2 linked regions of the Caenorhabditis elegans genome follow. The protein of the gene in region 1 purifies or fractionates together with the protein of each later gene. This does not show direct contact. Each region holds a gene or a part of one and is shown in the gene's direction. Other genes may lie near its edges. The genes, in order: zhp-1 and R03H10.2.

What was found.
Region 2: the proteins of zhp-1 (region 1) and R03H10.2 fractionate together in Caenorhabditis elegans (co-fractionation; one large-scale study listed by BioGRID). This does not show direct contact.

Annotation. Positions count from the first base shown.
Region 1 is NC_003279.8:5,363,595-5,371,262, reverse strand, and holds zhp-1 (Zip homologous protein 1), read left to right. Parts: upstream 1-3,433; 5' UTR 3,434-3,446; coding exon 3,447-3,743; intron 3,744-3,790; coding exon 3,791-3,936; intron 3,937-3,986; coding exon 3,987-4,122; intron 4,123-4,169; coding exon 4,170-4,253; 3' UTR 4,254-4,315; downstream 4,316-7,668. Other genes in the region: F55A12.2 (uncharacterized protein), read right to left, coding at 4,476-4,735, 4,788-5,013, 5,061-5,194, 5,248-5,435, 5,883-5,998; ppk-1 (PIPK domain-containing protein), read right to left, coding at 7,116-7,217, 7,270-7,373. UniProt on the Caenorhabditis elegans protein: Recruited co-dependently with zhp-2 to the synaptonemal complex between homologous chromosome pairs to regulate the formation and number of crossover events between homologs during meiotic recombination.
Region 2 is NC_003280.10:4,151,491-4,160,799, forward strand, and holds the start of R03H10.2 (uncharacterized protein), read left to right. Parts: upstream 1-4,282; 5' UTR 4,283-4,284; coding exon 4,285-4,449; intron 4,450-8,685; coding exon 8,686-8,856; intron 8,857-9,309.

The DNA of each region.
Region 1 (7,668 bases):
CGTCATCAGTGATCACCAAGACATATTTGCAACCGCTCGCAGCTACTTTCTCCAGCTGATCCATGATTTTATCCGTATGGAAAAGGCCCGTTTCACATGGTGGCTTGATCGTCATACCTTTCTTCTTTCAAGAATCAACGAACATTCCGGCAAGTTGACTAAATAATTTAATCGATTCAAATAAATTTCTATCAATCTTACTTCACGTCACCACTGGAGAATCTGCATCCTTGATTACCAACAGCGTAAAGAGCCCATAACTCTGGAACCTTCGCGGGTTTTACAAACCATCCTGGAGGTGCACGCCACTTTCCCATTTCCGACATTACCGATCTCTGGTATACGAGCTCTTTTCCGTCGAGCTCACGCGCTTCAACCTGGAGAAAGAAAATCAATGTTTTTTAACGATTTGCACAAACTGACCATCAGAGGCTCCGAGTAAACTTTGATTCCGAGAGCGACGAGCAACTCATTCTCGAGTGAAATGTTGACAGCATTTTTACCGGTAATGATTATTCTCTGACGAACATCAGGAAGAACCGCGCACTCCTTCGTTGTCTTTTGAGATTGATTGCCAGTTTGCTGAGGAATGGTCACACGTTGATTTCTTGAAATGGTCATCAGTTCAGCCGGGAAGTAATTGTTGTTGCCTCGATCCTTACAAACCACCAAATTGGCGTTCGGATATTGTAGAGTGATCTTGTATTTGTCCGCATAATACTCGGCGATTGAGCACGTTTTTCCATCGGGCAACTCGAACCTGGTCTTTGAGGCACTTTCGTGAAAGATCCCTTCGATTCTTAGATGGCGCTTTCTGTTTGTATACGTCGAATAGCAATCAAGTCCTTTCATCACTGCCGCGGCTTTCTCACGGGCCATATTATTGATTCCATTTGAAGGATCTTGTCCCGTGATTTCGTACAGTTTTTGGATCACAGTTTGTTCTTTGTGGAACGCAGCTTTCATTCCATCAATCACGACAGATGGATTGTTCTGTCCACGACCATAAGGACCTTCGATGAATTGAATTGCCTTTTTGAGACCGGGATAAAGCTGTTTTCCATCGCCGACGTCGACACAGTCTCGCTGATCAAATCCTTCCTCGGTGGCGTTGAGGAAATATACCTTTCCGTGCTCGAAGCATCCGAAACGTTTTCTAGAATGAAGAAATGTTTTTCAAGACTTTCCTAAATTCACTTACGTTTCTCTCACGCAATGTTGATTCAAAGCAAGTTCCAAGAATTGAGTGTATTCCCGATTGTTCACTTCAATGTTTTGATCAGCAGTACGCTTGCTCAGATTTTCAGCAGAGAGCGTGATCGAGTTGTTTCGTGGGGCATAAATCTCGAGAGAGATGCAAGGCAACGTCTTAAGGTCGTCATTGTTGATATCAGCTCCGTTGATTTGGAAGACTTTGGACTTCGTACCGTTGGCATCCAGTTCTGAGAACAAGTTGACAGTTGTGTAGAGAGTTGATTGGCCGTCATAAACAATCTGATTTCCGTCCTTCATTTTGAAGAATTCAGGATTTTTCTCCACGGCATGGAAAAATAAGTTGCAGCATTTATCGCGACGGTCAAGAACGACGAAATCTTCTTTCCCTTTTTTGGTGAACGTCACTTCCTTACTAGGGAATGGTGTTACCCCTGCAATCGCTAGGAGGACAAAACAAAGTGAAAATGGAAGATCAGATCTATGGCTACAAGAATCAGTTTTTGAAATCTGCTTAACTCGGTCCCAAAGCTGAAATTTTCGGTCTTAAAAAGTAGTCCTTTTTTGCTCAAAATGCCGTTTTTCGTGTGTAGAAGTGGCTACATAAAAGTTTGGCACTGCAGCCGCCGTTCGAATGGCCGATTGGTGAACTCTTATGCTCATTAATCTAAAGGTCACGGGTTCGTTCCCCACTAGGTATTAATTTTTTTTTGAATTTTTCCTCTAGCATGAAATATGCACAAAAACACGGTTTCTTCCGTTTTTTGGTAACTTCGGAATAAATTTTTTGGTTCCTGGGAACCATAAAAGTAATTTGGAAACTTTTTGGAAGTTTTCTTTTTTTGATAAATTTTCACTTTGAAGAAACCGTGTTTTTGTGCATATTTCATGCTAGAGGAAAAATTCAAAAAAAAATTAATACCTAGTGGGGAACGAACCCGTGACCTTTAGATTAATGAGCACAAGAGTTCACCAATCGGCCATTCGAACGGCGGCTGCAGTGCCAAACTTTTATGTAGCCACTTCTACACACGAAAAACGGCATTTTGAGCAAAAAAAGGACTACTTTTTAAGACCGAAAATTTCAGCTTTGGGACCGAGTTAAGCAGATTCCAAAAACTGATTCTTGTAGCCATAGATCTGATCTTCCATTTTCACTTTGTTTTGTCCTCCTAGCGATTGCAGGGGTAACACCATTCCCTAGTTAGTTGGAGTCAAATTGGCCTTTGCGTGAACCATAAAACGGTGGACAGTGGTTTCCTTTGTCACTTTAACTCCGAAGATATTAGTTTGAATATCCACTTTTCTACCCAATTGTCCAGGTTCGGCTGGCTTCATGTACATTTTCGCGCCATTCTCAACCTGCAAATAGGACATTAGAAATATTTTTAAATGCACAGAGATATACTTTTAACTGTTGCAAACGTTTGATGCATGCGTCGTTGCCAGTGATTTGATGAAGCTTTTGAGCATCGGCGGGAACTGGAGGCATTGGAGGCATAGTTCCTGGTGGAGCAGTGACTGGTGGCATTGGAGGCATCGGTGGATGCGGTTGTGGTGGATGAGGAGACATCTTATTACTATTGCAATATTAGATCTGAAAAAAAAATATGAAGAGGGGCCAAGATTATCCACATGTCATTTACTACAGAGGATAACACGCTGTGAAAAACAAACGAAAAAGATAACAGATGCGAAGCGTCCAGAGAAAATCTAGGAGAAAATGAAAGTTGTACGGAAAAAATACAGTTTCGAGGTGTCTCGGCATTAAACATTGTAGGGTGGATTTGGATGAATGATGAAGAAAGAATAATTTATTTTTTGGCGGCTAGATCAAATGGAGATCATTTTTCTATCTCTAAAACAAGTCTAACATTTATCAAAATCCTACTTTTTAGTTAATATTACAGATTTTCTAACTATATTCATTAAATTTGAGATAAGACTAATATGAAAATTGCTGAAAATTATCGAAAAACTGTCACAAACAGACGAAGAAACCGGAAAAGTGAATGCCAGCAATGCCAACGCAATACCGTACTTGAAAATGGCGATCGGTGCGGGACCCACGCGTTGTTTGTTCGAAAGCTCCTTTAAATTTGTGTTTTTTTAAAAAGCAATTCGTGCTTTTCTCCCGGGAGAGCTCCCTGTATTCTATGATGTTTTAGAAGTTTAATCGTTCCAAACATGGTTCAAAAATAACAATTTGCATTTATTTCAGAACTGTAGGCACTATGGAGTTCATCGTTTGCAATGGATGTGGATGCTCGCCAAGTAAAAGACAATTTTTTATCACCGCCTGCTCCCACGTCTTCTGTGAAACATGCCGAACAACTCCCACTGCTGACTTTTGTCATTTGTGTAAAATCCCGACAAAAACTCTCAAAATGGATGCAAGTCTGCCGAAGAATGTGAAGAAAATGTTCGGCGATGTGGGTGTGATGAGTACGGATATTCACAAACGCCTCGCTCGAGTTATTGGCTTTCAAAAAATTCAGAAGTCAATTCAATTGAAAATGGAAAACAAAAAAGTAACACTCTTTTTTTAAGTTTCCAGAATTAAAACGCTTTATTTCAGTCAGTTATGCGAAAAGAACAAACCAAGAAAGTTGAGAAAAAGACGGAGGAAATGCACTGTCAATTGTCGAAGCTAACAAGTTTTGAGGAAAATAATCGTAAGAAGCTTGAAGATATTGAACGCGAGAACGAGAAGCTTCGGAATTTGTATGTATTCCCTGATCGAAATTTAATCTAAATATTGATTTCTATTTTAGAATCAGTGCTCTCGAACTGAAAGTTGCCAGTTCTCGTGATATCGATGATGACGAGTTTTTCATGCAAGGTACTCCAACTTCTTCAAATCCTTCCGTTGCTGGTTCAGATGTAGATAATGACGAATTGCTCGATTATGTATGCTGATATCATTGATTTTTCTGTTCCTAAAGTTGCTTTTTCAGGATCTTCTAGGATTGAGGAATCGATCTGATTCATCATCATCCAACTGCTCGTCTCAATCGAATCGTGGAGGATCTCTGTTTTAACATAATCTGTAATATAGATGACCATAGTTTTATTTTTCAGCTATAAACATAAAAATGCTTGATTTATCTTCTTCCCACATATCCAGAGCAAAACGTGACACCATCAATTGGATGAAAGGGGATCGAAAAAATTACAAAATCAATTAAAATTTTATTTTCAAACAAACAACAAAAATAAAAACGATATGATTTGAAAAAAAACTAAATCTAGGACTAGATAAATCAAGCGACACGTTCATTTTCCGGTGCTTCTGGAATCGCCCCGTTGACGAGCGGAATCTTTCGTAGAAAATCGAGAATCTTCTGCTTAAGTGAGGATGATGTTTGCGCTTCAGCAACAAGACGACGTGCCAAATCGGAGTCCAGTTCAAGAGTGTTGAACATTCGTTCACGACCCCAGAGCATCGCGTACATTGAACCAAAACTGACGATCATTTGAATGGCAGCACACATGGCAATTACAGGACGAGCGGGTTTGGAGCCTGAAAAATTAAGAGTAGAATAAATTGCATTTATATTTTACATTCGATATACCTTCCCATCCTAGAGTCAAGAACTCTAATAAATTATTGACAACTGGCATTGCTCTAGAACTTCCTCCTGTATTCGCTTCCCTATTGATCAGAACATAATGTGCCAAATATGGAGTTGCAAGCATCGGAAGAGCAATTCCTGTTAATAATCCAATAGCAATACTATTAATGACAAGACACGATGGACATGGTGTAAGCTCATTGTAGACTTTAGGTGTTACAAGAACCTGAAATTATTGCGTTACTGTATGTTTGAAATACGGAAAAAAGAAACCTGATGAAGCATGAAATATGTAACACCAGAGGAATAAACTCCAAATACAAATGGAGATTTCGGACACTTTCGGATTGATTCAAAGAATTTAGCTTTCGCATCATAAAGGAACATTTCAGAGTTGATCCGAGTGGCTGAAAATCAAAATTATCGTCAGAAATTTTGAAGTTTTTCTAAAAATACAAACCAATAAGTGAAGAAGTGACACAATTAGCTACTAAACCAGCGTGAACTGGCCATGTTAATGCTCTTCGCTCATCTCGAAATGGCCATGTTGATGAGAGGCGACTCATCAAATGAGCTTGATCAGCTGAAGACATTGAAGATAGATTCTGCCATAGTGTTGAACGATTTGATGGATCTGTTGAGGCATCTCTGAAGTAAATAGTTGAAAATTTTTTTTTTTTTCGACTTTTTGAAAAAATAATTTGGCTGAAATTGATTTATTTCACAAAAGAATTGATTTCTAAACTGTAATTTTTTTTTAAATGAGAACATCAGAAAACATACGGTATCCGGTCTCGACACGAGCAATTTTTCAAATGTATGCGCGCCTTCAAAGACTACTGTAGTTTCCAACTCCTCGTTTTTGCGCGTTTTACTTCAGTTTTTCAAATAAAAAATTTTCAAAAAAAATTTGGAATGGGAGAGAAACAATGAAAATCTAGGAGAGCTCTGCAAAAATTGACAGTTCGAGACTACAGTACCCCTTAAAGGTGTTTTTGCATGTTTAAAAAATATCCTTGAGGGTCTCAGAAACTGAAAATAAATTGATTTTTTGTTGGATTAAAAGATTTTTGTTTTTTTTTTGCATTTTTTCACCTCGCCGCTGCCACCAATCCTCTATTGACGGCATGTGATTCCAATTTTGCAAAATTTTCCGAATTCTGCCATAATGATAGAAATTGCGGACTATTCTGCTCATTTTCTTTGCTCATCTGAAATATTTTCAAGTTCTGATGCTGAAAATGTTTATTCAAATATTGAAAAAGCGACTTAAAACCAAAAGAAAGCAAAGAAAATCAAAGTTTTAAGTTGGAAAATCTTTTTATTTCGTCTGTAAAACATCGATGAGAAGAAAGCCGGGGTGGTTGGAGAGGGGATTTGAAAAATTGAAAAATAATAAATTACAAAAAAGTTCGAGGCAAAGATAAGAGGGAAGAGATAAAAAAATTAAATTAGATACATTAGTTTTTGTAGCATAAATAATTTTAAATTATAAAATTTTATTGCGGGTGGATACTAATCGGCGAGGGGGACAAATCAATCACAATTTCGTGGAGAGAAGGAGGGTCGGGTCTTGACTGGAAAATTCCGAATGTTGGAAAGTTGAAACTAAAGCCAAATTTGAATTTGGAAGCGGAAAAATAGTGAAAAAAAGAAACAAAAAATTTATATTATTTCACAACTCGATGAGAAAAGGGCACAATCGTTTTGAAAGGAACATTGGCAGATTTTGGTTGAAACTGAAGACTATGTCGGAAGAAGAAGAATGAACGGCAATGGTGGATGCAATAGAACTATAATCGAGTCTGAAAATTTTTGAGATATTTTAATGGTTAGAGAGTTATAGACAAGAAAGGCAGGCAAGAGACGCAGACAGATAAGCACAATGGTACTGTAGGACCTCACACGGAGACTAGATGGAAACTAGATGACTAGACATCTAAATATTTTTCTTGTTTGCAAAATTTTATTTTGAAGAATTTTCGTAAAACTATCTGAAATATTTGCAAGATTGCAACATCTAAAAAGAAGAAAAATTACCAAAATTTAAAGGTATTTTTTTGAAATATCTCAAAATTGAAAAAAAAATTACAAAAATCGAATTTTCTCATTTTAGAGATTTTTTACTTACTTTTCTCAATTTGGACTATTCTGAGCTTTTTAAGAGACACACTTTTCGATAATAACTAGACGTTGACACAACAAATATTACAAGCCGAACTTGCTCAGAGACAAACATAATGTTAGGATCCGTTGGGAAAGAATACCTAAATGGAAAGATGGAAAGACCAGAAGAAGAAGAAGAAGATGAAGAAGAAGCATCTTTCTTCAAGCGACAGGTGTGTCACCACTCACAATTTCCTCTGCTTCTTCCTGTTCTTCGGGCACTTTTTCGTCGGTTGGTTTTGACTGCGCGAATAATCGTTCTACCTGCAAAATAATTTCATTTTTAAGATTTAAAGTTTTATTTAATTATGTAAACCTTCTTCTCTTTCTTATCAGCACTCATAGCTTGTCCTGCATCTCGGTAAGACCTTCGAAGAGGTACTCGTGACATGGACGATGGAGGTTCACGGGCCGAATTTGCTGAAAATGAAGAAGATTAGGTGATTTTGCAACGATTTTTTACTGCTCGAAGAAAATGAAATTAGAATAAATTATCCCAATTTTGAAAATTTTGAAGAAAAATTCTCTAAAAATCTGAAAAATTTTTGTTCGGTTTTTGAGATCTTAGAAAAAACTATTTTATTCCATTATTTCGATTTTCGGAGGAAAAAAGTCTAGTTTCTAAATAATATTTGGTATTTTTTATGAAGATAAAAAAATTCTGATAAACCAGTAAAGAGTTCCAGCGAGTAAATTTTCGCAATTTTGAAGAAAA
Region 2 (9,309 bases), on another chromosome or scaffold:
CACAGGGTCATTCAGGACGTTCAGGGGAAGTTGGCAGGAAATTTGAATGAAACTGAAGATGGAAAAACACAAAAAAAGTAACTTGCTACTCGTAATTTTGACCATTTGAATAAAAAATATTCAAAAAAAGCGCTCTAATTACAAGACTGCTAACTAATCAGCGATCTGCAAAAGGCGTGACCTACGCTGCTGATTGGTCGGAGCATGGACGGCAACACCCCTTCCTCTTAAAATGTTTCCATTTTCCTATCACCTCGAGACGGTCACTCTCCCAATCATTTTTCTTCATCTTTGTTTTTCTCCATCACCGTTTTCTTTCCTTTATTCCCACCACACACACACCGCAGCTGTAGGCGACCTTCTGCGGAAGGCGAGATGGGGCGCTCAACCGTTTACGAGAAGACATGTCTTCAGGTCTTCTACTGCTACGGTCCAATGGTATGGGAGAGAGTTGTCCTTGACTAGGTGGTGGATGGAGATCATATCGCATTTCAAAGAGACGCAGGCGTAAAGAGTGAACAGTATACCGCCTGGCTTCTCAATTGCAGATCATCGACACAGTGCCCCCTTCTCGGGGGAATGGTTTGTATGGGTGTGTGGGTGTGTGGCCCCAATTTGAATATCCTCTTACTCATTTTGTTGGCGTTTTCGTTTCTTACTTGCGACCGTTTTAAAAGTTATTTTTTGGACAACAAACATTATTTTTCTGCAAAAGTGCATGCCTAGGCTTTTACCGGCTTAAGCATGGGCCTAGGTTTAGGCTCAGGCTTAGGCTTAGGTTTAGGCTTATGCTTAGGCTTAGATTCAAGCTTAGGCTTAGATTCAAGCTTAGGCTTACGCTTACGCTTATGCCAAAGTTTCTGCTTTTGCCAAGGTTTCGGTTCAGGCTTATGCTCAAGCTCTTCCCGTGGTATGTGTTCAAGTTTAAACTTTCTCAGAATTATTGGAATTCACCAAGCTCTAGATTTGAATCTATTCCAGCTTAAAATTGGTCCAGGCGGAACTCGCATCAATTCAAGCCCTTTTCTTTTTGATCTTCGAAATAATTCTAAAATTAGAATTTGAATATTTTTCTACCCAACAAATATACCTAGTTAAGGTTACCTTATATGTTGACCACGTTTGCCGATTTCAATTGTTTCTCTCAGGGTGTCATAAATCAAGCAGTCACCCTTTATGTCCTTGCCACTGTTATTTCCTACCCCCCACCAACTGGTACAAACCATTTCGAAAAGTTTTATTTAGCTGCCTATTTCAGATTAATACCCTAAAAATTAAAATTTTGTGCGCTTATCTATGCAGAGCAACGCTAAAAACAGGAAGAACCCAGATAATTTCGATCGCAATCTTTTTTGCGAATTTTCTCACATTTTTCTTCTAATTTTTGCTGTTCCTACCTAATTAACCGTATTAATTTCTAATTTTCAAACAATCTTCGATATTTATCTCACACATTTACTATTCACCGATGAGAATCTCAAGAATCATCACAACGTTCGTCCCGTCGGCGAGGCTATGGCTTGGTTGAAAAATGAAAGTCTCCAGTTGTCCTGTCAATTCGTTTCGAATTATCCACCTCCTCCGGAGGAGAAGAAGGAGAATGAAATTAAGTGATGGGGTAGGCTGCTGGTGACTAGGGAGATGCAGAAAGGGGGGGGGGGGGGTCACTTTTATTGTCTACCCCGTCCGGTCATCCGTCTTTATACCTGTCTCATGATGACTCATTTTTGAAATTCAAACGAGGTAGACTCGGCAGTTAGGCACTTTTTAAGCGAACACCTGAGATTGAAACTAAGCGTAAGCCGAAGCGTAAGCGTAATCGTAAGCGTAAGTCTAAGCGTAGGCCTAAGTTTAAGCCTAAGTCTAAGATTAAGCGTAAGCCTAAGCCTTAGCCTCATTCTAAGCCTCAGCCTAAAGCTAAGTCTAAGCCTAAGCCTATGCCTAAACCTAAGCCTAAGCCTAAGCCTAAGTCCAAACCTAAGCCTTAACCGCATGTATGTAGTTGTTCCAAAATTGTTTAACTTCATTGCAGCTAATTTTCCTGAACACCTTCCTCATTAGTTGACCTATTTTCAGCCAATTACAGTTTGAAAGTTCTTTTTAAATTTGAAATCCTCTAATTCCCTTTCCCCCCTAAATGACCTTTAATACCCATAGAGTCTCCTGTCCTTTGGTGGCCACTTTTCCAACCCGATTACCTCTAATTTCCCACTCTCTCCTTCTATGTCTCTTTTTCTGGTTACCAAGGGACCACAGACTACTAACACACCTTTCTACCGCTTTTATCCCGAACGGGAGGGGGCACTATGCATTAATTATACTTACGAAGGTCGCAGACTTTTATCTTCGTTTGTTTTCGATTTTGCATACTTTTGTGTGTTTATTGATTTTTTTTTTCGTGTGAAATTTGAAATCTTTTATTGTCGGCGGAGCGAATTTGCATTAATGTTTTTGTTAAATTAGGTAAGAAGAAGACATTTTATATTAAAAATTTATAAAAGCTATCGATTTTCTATAATATTGGTGTAACATTTTAGGGTGTTTTAGCGGAAAGCCAAAAATTTCTGAATTTTCTTTTTAATTGTTGACTTTTTCAAACATTATTTGTATTTTACATACCAATTTTGTTTAAGAATTTAAAAAAAAAATAATAATTCAAATATGACGAAAAAACATTATCCGGACGTTAAGTTTGCTATTTTTGAGAAAAAAACAATAAACGACAAATTTTCTCAAATTCGGAAAACTATGCGTCTTTACAGAGTACTATAATTTTACCCTAAATAAATTCTGCAGTGTTTTTTTCTATTTAATTTACATAGATTTCTCACATTTTTTTCAAAAAAATAAATAAGTGCACAAAACTGAAAATTGATGAAAATTCCAAAAAGATAAATTACAGTACTCTTTAAAGACGCACACTTTTTGGCATTTAACTAACATTAGTCGTATCGAGGCCGGGTATCACATTTTTGGCGGAAAATTGCAAAATTAATTAAAATTTTGCAATTTTGCGTCTGAGTAATATATTTACAAGATGGTGGAGTTGTTTAATACTTGAGTTTTTCTAAATTCAAAAATTTCAGAGATTTTTGTGAAACTTTTTTTCTATTTTTTGGGTTAAGGCAATTTTCTATTTTCTATGTTTCAGTTTTCCGGTGTACCCCTCCACCTTATTCCTAGTGACCTTACTTGTCTCGGGTCCTTCATTACCTTCCCTTTTCGTCTTCTAAACGCATCTCACAAAAGTTAAGTGTTGACTCATTTCTCTCCCTCAAAAACCTTACATGTTCCTTTTTCGGAATGCCTCACACAACAAACCAGCGATGCATTTCCGAACACACATATGTCCACCCATAAAAGTGCGATAAGTAGATTTTGACTGTATATTCCCTGCAGGTGGTCTCTTTCTCTCTCTCTCTTCTTTCTGTCGGTTAGTACCAGAAGCCTGTCTCCCGTTTTGTCATATTCTTCTCTTTTCCTGATGCTTCTTCTCCACTACTACCACCTGTCTTCTTCTTCCCTTCCATTCCGTTCGTTTTCCTATTATCGTATTAGTATATACTAATATGCGTTTGACGTTGGAAACCTGAAGTAGATTCTCTCCGGAAGATAGATTACCACATTTTCACTAGTCGGTTGTTGGATTTATGAAGCTGTTAACACATACTTTTTATTAGCTGGACAGTTCAGGAATGGATTTGGCTTGGGCTTAGGCTTAGGTTTAAGCTTAGGCTTGGGTTTAGGCTTGGGTTTAGGCTTAGGCTTCGGCTTGAACTTAGGCTTAGGCTTAGACTTAGGCTTATGGTGAAGCTTAGGCTTAGGCTTAGGCTTAGGCTTACGCTTACGCTTAGGCTTACGCTTAGGCTTACGCTTAGGCTTACGCTTAGGCTTAGGCTTATCCTTAGGCTTAGGATTAGGCTTAAGCTTAGGCTTCGGCTTCGGCTTCGGCTTAGAGTTAGGCTTAGGCTAGGCTTAGACTTAGGCTTGTTCTCTAAATTTTTAATGTTTTTTTTGTTGCAAAGACTATAGTTTTTTAACAACTTCATGACGCATTTTATTTAAGCTTGTAAACTTCTAGGCTTATAGATTTTAATGTAAAATTTCGGGAATTGGAAATTTCGATATTGAATAAAAAAATTTCCAAACAACGTTTGCAACATTTTTCTTTAGAAAAAAAATTGTTTTTTTCTTTTTTATTTTCACATTGTCTTTTGTTCCTTAAGTTTTTATTCCAACTTTGCTAAAAGTATTTACAGTTAATTTTCAAAATTATCTGCAGAAATGGATTTCGATTTCGATTCGGAGCCAAAAACGCCTCCTCAACTACCCCCTGCTCCACCGATTCGGACAGTGTCGAATAACCCAAAAGTCACGTTTAAAGGCGCACAGACTTGGAGAGAATCTGTCGGAATGTTTTTGGTTATGGCACTGGCATTGGCAGTGGCGGTTAGTTTTTCAAATTTTCCCCAAAAAATTTAAGTTCAAAATCCGACCGCGGTCACACTTGGCCGGAATCCATCTGCTATCTTTAGTGAACCGGATATGAGAAAAAGTTTGTTTCGAAAAAGGAAAAAAAAGAAGATTATATGCACATGAATACTGCTTCACATTTTTGCAAAAAGAAATATGTTGTGTGCTTATTTTCAAACTTTTTTGGGATTGGAACTTTCCGGTACACTGAGCTTTAAACCGAATTATTAATAGGATTAAAATAAGCTGGGAAGGGGGTTCCGGGAAGATTATAAATTTTTTTTTTGGTTTAACTGGAAAAAGATTATTACTAATGAGATACTAGGTATACAAATAAATAAATAACAAAAATGCACGAAACCTTGTGAAAACTGCAAAACGAAATTTCGAAAAGACAAAATTGAAGAGTGAATTTTTGAAGCATGAGTCTACAGATATTAAGCCAAAGAGCTGAGCCTGAAAGACTCAACTTGAAGGCCTACATTTGAAGGCCTACGCCTGATAGCCTGGATGGGATGTGTCGAAAAGCCCTTGGGATTAAGTCGAAAGACTTAATCCCAAGGGCCTTGGCCTAGGGTCCTAAGCAAAAAAGCCCAAGCCTTAGCCTGAAGGTATAAGCCCAAACGTTTCGGATTCCCAAAATACTTCCTGACTCATAACTCAATTTTAGAACCAAATCTGACTGAATCACAAAATGTTTCGGGAACTCAAAAGAATCTATGACCTGATTACTCGGTTATTCTTAATAAACACCCTCTGCAGCTGTAAATACATTATGAATAGGTGCTAGTTAGATAGATCAAAAGTTTTTGTTAGATCAAAAAGTGAAGAGGAAGTCAGAAAAGTTGGGTTCGAATAGTGATATGGTCTATTAGAGAAATAATTGAATCTTTGAATCTGTGAGTCTGTGTCGGAAAAATATGTTAACTACAAACTAGGATTTTCTCCTTTTCGTAGTGAAAAATATAGTTTAGAAAAAGCTAGCTTAGTGGTAGTCCTAAACCTGAGACTCGGTTTAGGCCTACTCCTGAGCCTAGAACTAGGCATAAGCAGGTGTCTAAGCCTAAATACATATCTGAAGACCATACTTAGGTTAGAAGCTTAAGTGCCAGCTCTTGCAACCTTGAAATGCTTAACATCTACTAACCGAAGTTGTGAATCCTGATGGCCTAGCTCAAAGCCTAAACCTAGAGCTAGCCTTAAGCCTAGCCCTTAGTCCTAGGTTAATGCCTAGTCTTGGGCCTAAATCTAGTCCTAGGCCCAAACATGGCTATAGACCTAAACCTGACCATAAGCCTATGGCCAACGCATAAGTCTAGCCCTAGTCTAGCCAGTCCTGTTCCTAAAATTTCTGAAATCTGAAAAAATCTGAAACTTTTCGGTACTCTCGCTTCTTTGTTATGAATTTTTCATCTTGTTGTTCACTTTTAAGCATCTGAAATTATCTGAAAACCCTGAAAATCCCTAGAAAAAACAAGACACTTTTGATATATAAAAATGTAATTTATTACTTTTTTTGGAAGCTTTAATGTCAATTTTGGTTCAATATATACAAAGAAAGTAAGGGTTTCTAGAGTCTACAACAATTCAAAAAACAATGAAGAAAAAACAACAAAATAACATTTAAAAAACAAAACCGGAAAAAAATAGTAGTTCGAATGTGGAGAGACCCGTGAAGGCGGCTTGTGTAGATTTTTGTACAGATATTTAGAACAGTTAGGGCTCATAGAGGAGCTTTCCAAGAAGCTTAATAAAATGCAGATACACATCTGCGGAACCCACGTCGCTTCTCCTCGATAGTCCTCTGGATTGCAGCCTTGACTGCTGGGGAGCGGTGAGCATCGACGTTGGTGAGAATGTCTTGATTGATGTGGAACATTTTGTAGAGAATTTAGAAATTAGAGCAATTGAAGAATTTGAAAAACTCAAGAGATTAGAGTATTATCAGTGTGTTCTCTTGCTCTTGCTTATATAGGCACCCGTGTGCTCTGGTGATAATTGGCTCCGCCCCGCGTTATCCATCCAACCGAGCATGGTCATGAGGCGAGAGACGGGTGAACAAGAAGAAGTCAGAAGAAGATGAATAGAGAGGAGTCATAGGAGCTAATTAATCAGCAAGATTTTTTGGAGGGGAAAAGGGTACCACGAGGTTTCTCGAGCAAAGCTTGCTTGAGAAGGGGTACTGTAAGGGAGCAGAACTTTTGATGTTTCTAGAAATGGGAAAACGTTTTTTTGAAAAAAATCAAAGCTCAGCTTTGGATGAGGTGTATGCCAAAAGTCTTGAACCAAGCTTAAGCCTAATAGTAACCGTGAAGAAAGAAGCCTGAGACTAAATCTAAAGGCCCTAGTTTAAAGGCCTAAGTTTGAGCTTCAGCGTAAGCCTAAGACTAAGCCTAAGCCTCAACTCAAGCCTAAACATATGCCCAAGCCTAAGACTGAGCCTAAATCCCAAGCCTATGCATAATTCTAAGCCTAAGCCTAAACGTCAAGGGTTTGCCCAACGTTCTAAGCCCAAGAACTCGGCCTCATTTTCTTCCGAATTTGTAGTTTTTGATACCTTTTTTTCTGAATTCTCGTCAAACCTTCCAAAATTTCAAAGCCTACAATTTCCAAATTACTCTGTTTTGACCAACATAATTGCCGGCTGAAAGATCAAATTGAAACTTTTTATTCCAGAAAAAATCGGGTTTCCTGCAAAAGCCCGAGCCAATTTGTGCGCAGTTTTGCCCTATAATTTTCTCTAATTTCATGAGAATCTCGTTTACTTGAACTTTGAAAATTAATGGCTGGTGTTTGAAATTTTCATACCCCAGAAGATTCTCTTGACTGGACAGGAGGAAGAAAAGAAATATTCCAAAACATTTTAAGATTCACTTGACTTATTTTCAGTCTGAAAAACTTGAAATCCTGTTCCGCTTGGCTCGATTTTTTATCCATCTGATTTTTCGGTTTTAAAAAAGAGTCACGTAGTGGCTTACAGACCTTTTTGAACAAATTTTGAAAATTTTCAGCCAAATTTTTAAGGGATAATGCACAAAGTTTCTGATATCCGGAACGTTCGGAACAGGCATAATTAATCGCTTCTAGACGACTTGTTGTTGAGCGGAAATTTGATAATGTCTGGGGGTAATCACGGGAAAATTGTAAAAATTGTAATGGATCAAAGAACATAAAACATAATGGTCTCAGTTAGAGAAAAATATTCTGTGAAAAATTTTAAAAGGCATGTAGGAAAGCAGGCAGGCAAAAAACCCAAAGTTGCCGAATTCCAAAAACTCATTCATCAACTTTTTTTTTGTTTTTTGATTACCAACATATTAACCCAATTACTCACATAAATCCTATCAATTTCACACATCATTTTCCATTCAAAAAATTCAAAATTCTTTCTCCAGACAAAGCGAAAATCCTCAGCATTTTCACCGGGGGCCCCCTATTATCGGATTAGGCAATTTTAATCCAATAAAAGTTTCGGAACTCCCTCAATAAAATAATGGAAACCCAACAAAAAATGATGAATTTTAAGATTTTAGAAATGATGGGCAAAAGCTCTATGACTAAGAACATTTGGCAAGAAAACTAGAGTTTTATGTTTCTAGTTTGATTTTTTTTTTTTGAAGATTTAAGTGCAAATAATGTGTCATGACAGGGGGTGAGCTGGCTGGAAAACATATTAACGAATGATTGTTTGAACTCACTGAGGAAATAAAGCAGATAAAGAAGCGGGTTTAAAAAACAGTTTTTAGTTAAGCAGACGACATTAAGCGGTTCCGTCTGTCCAACAGCCCGGAAGATGTCGGGCGCTGAAAAGGAACAGGAAATTACAAGCGTCCGACGCATACCGGGTCCCACCCTGCAAATGTCAGACGCTGTTACGCTTATTGGATTTTCGTAATTTTGTCAAGTTTAGAGACTACTTTTTGGTTGATAAACGTTCTAAAAATTTTGAAAATTTGTTTTACAGCGCCCGACGTCTCACGGGTTCTATAGGGAACCCGAAAATTGTCGGGTGCTTCACACGTTTCTTCAGCTTATCCTTTTTGAAATAGCTGAGGTTAACCGGGTCATTTTTATCACCAGACATCTTGTAGGACAAATGTTTTTTAATTCGAATTTTGAGCCTCCGTAGTTTTTCAACTTTAGAGCTATTCTTTGCAGTTCTCAAATTCCCAGTTTCGTAGTGGGACCCAACCTAAAAATTGAAATTTGCAGATCTCAAGCCTGGTGCTCCTTTGTTACGTGTGGAAGGACAAGCAAGTGTACGATCATATTGTGGATTTCCTCGACAAAACGATACAAATCTCGAAAATCGCTGAACGTCCGTTCCTAGGAGTATATCAGTTGTCTGAAAAAGAGCTTGAAGTGCTTGGAAACGAGAGAACTGTAAGTTTTAGTATTGGTTCATAGACCCTTTTTGAAACACTCTAGTTAAAAAATTGCCGAAGATCTCTCTGAAATTGTAGGTAGACCGCACTGGCCAAAATGATGTGAATTTGTATTTCAAAAAAACCAAAAAGTTATTTGTAGCTGGCGTTTTTTTTTTCAATTGAATTTGCATAATCAACTTATAACATTTCTTGTACTACATATTTTTAAATAGGATTTTTTTGAATTTTCAAAAATGTGAGGGGATTTCCCCTCAACTATCTGCAAGTTCCAACATGAACTCATTGTTTCTGACCCCCATCTCTTATGTGATTTTTTACATTCAAAATAAAAAATGAACAACAAAATCGAAGTTCAAAAGATCCTTGATCCAACACCAGAAAGTTTTTTGTATTGCTCTTTACCCCGCAACAACAAAATGATGAACTCAAATGTATATGGGATTAACTA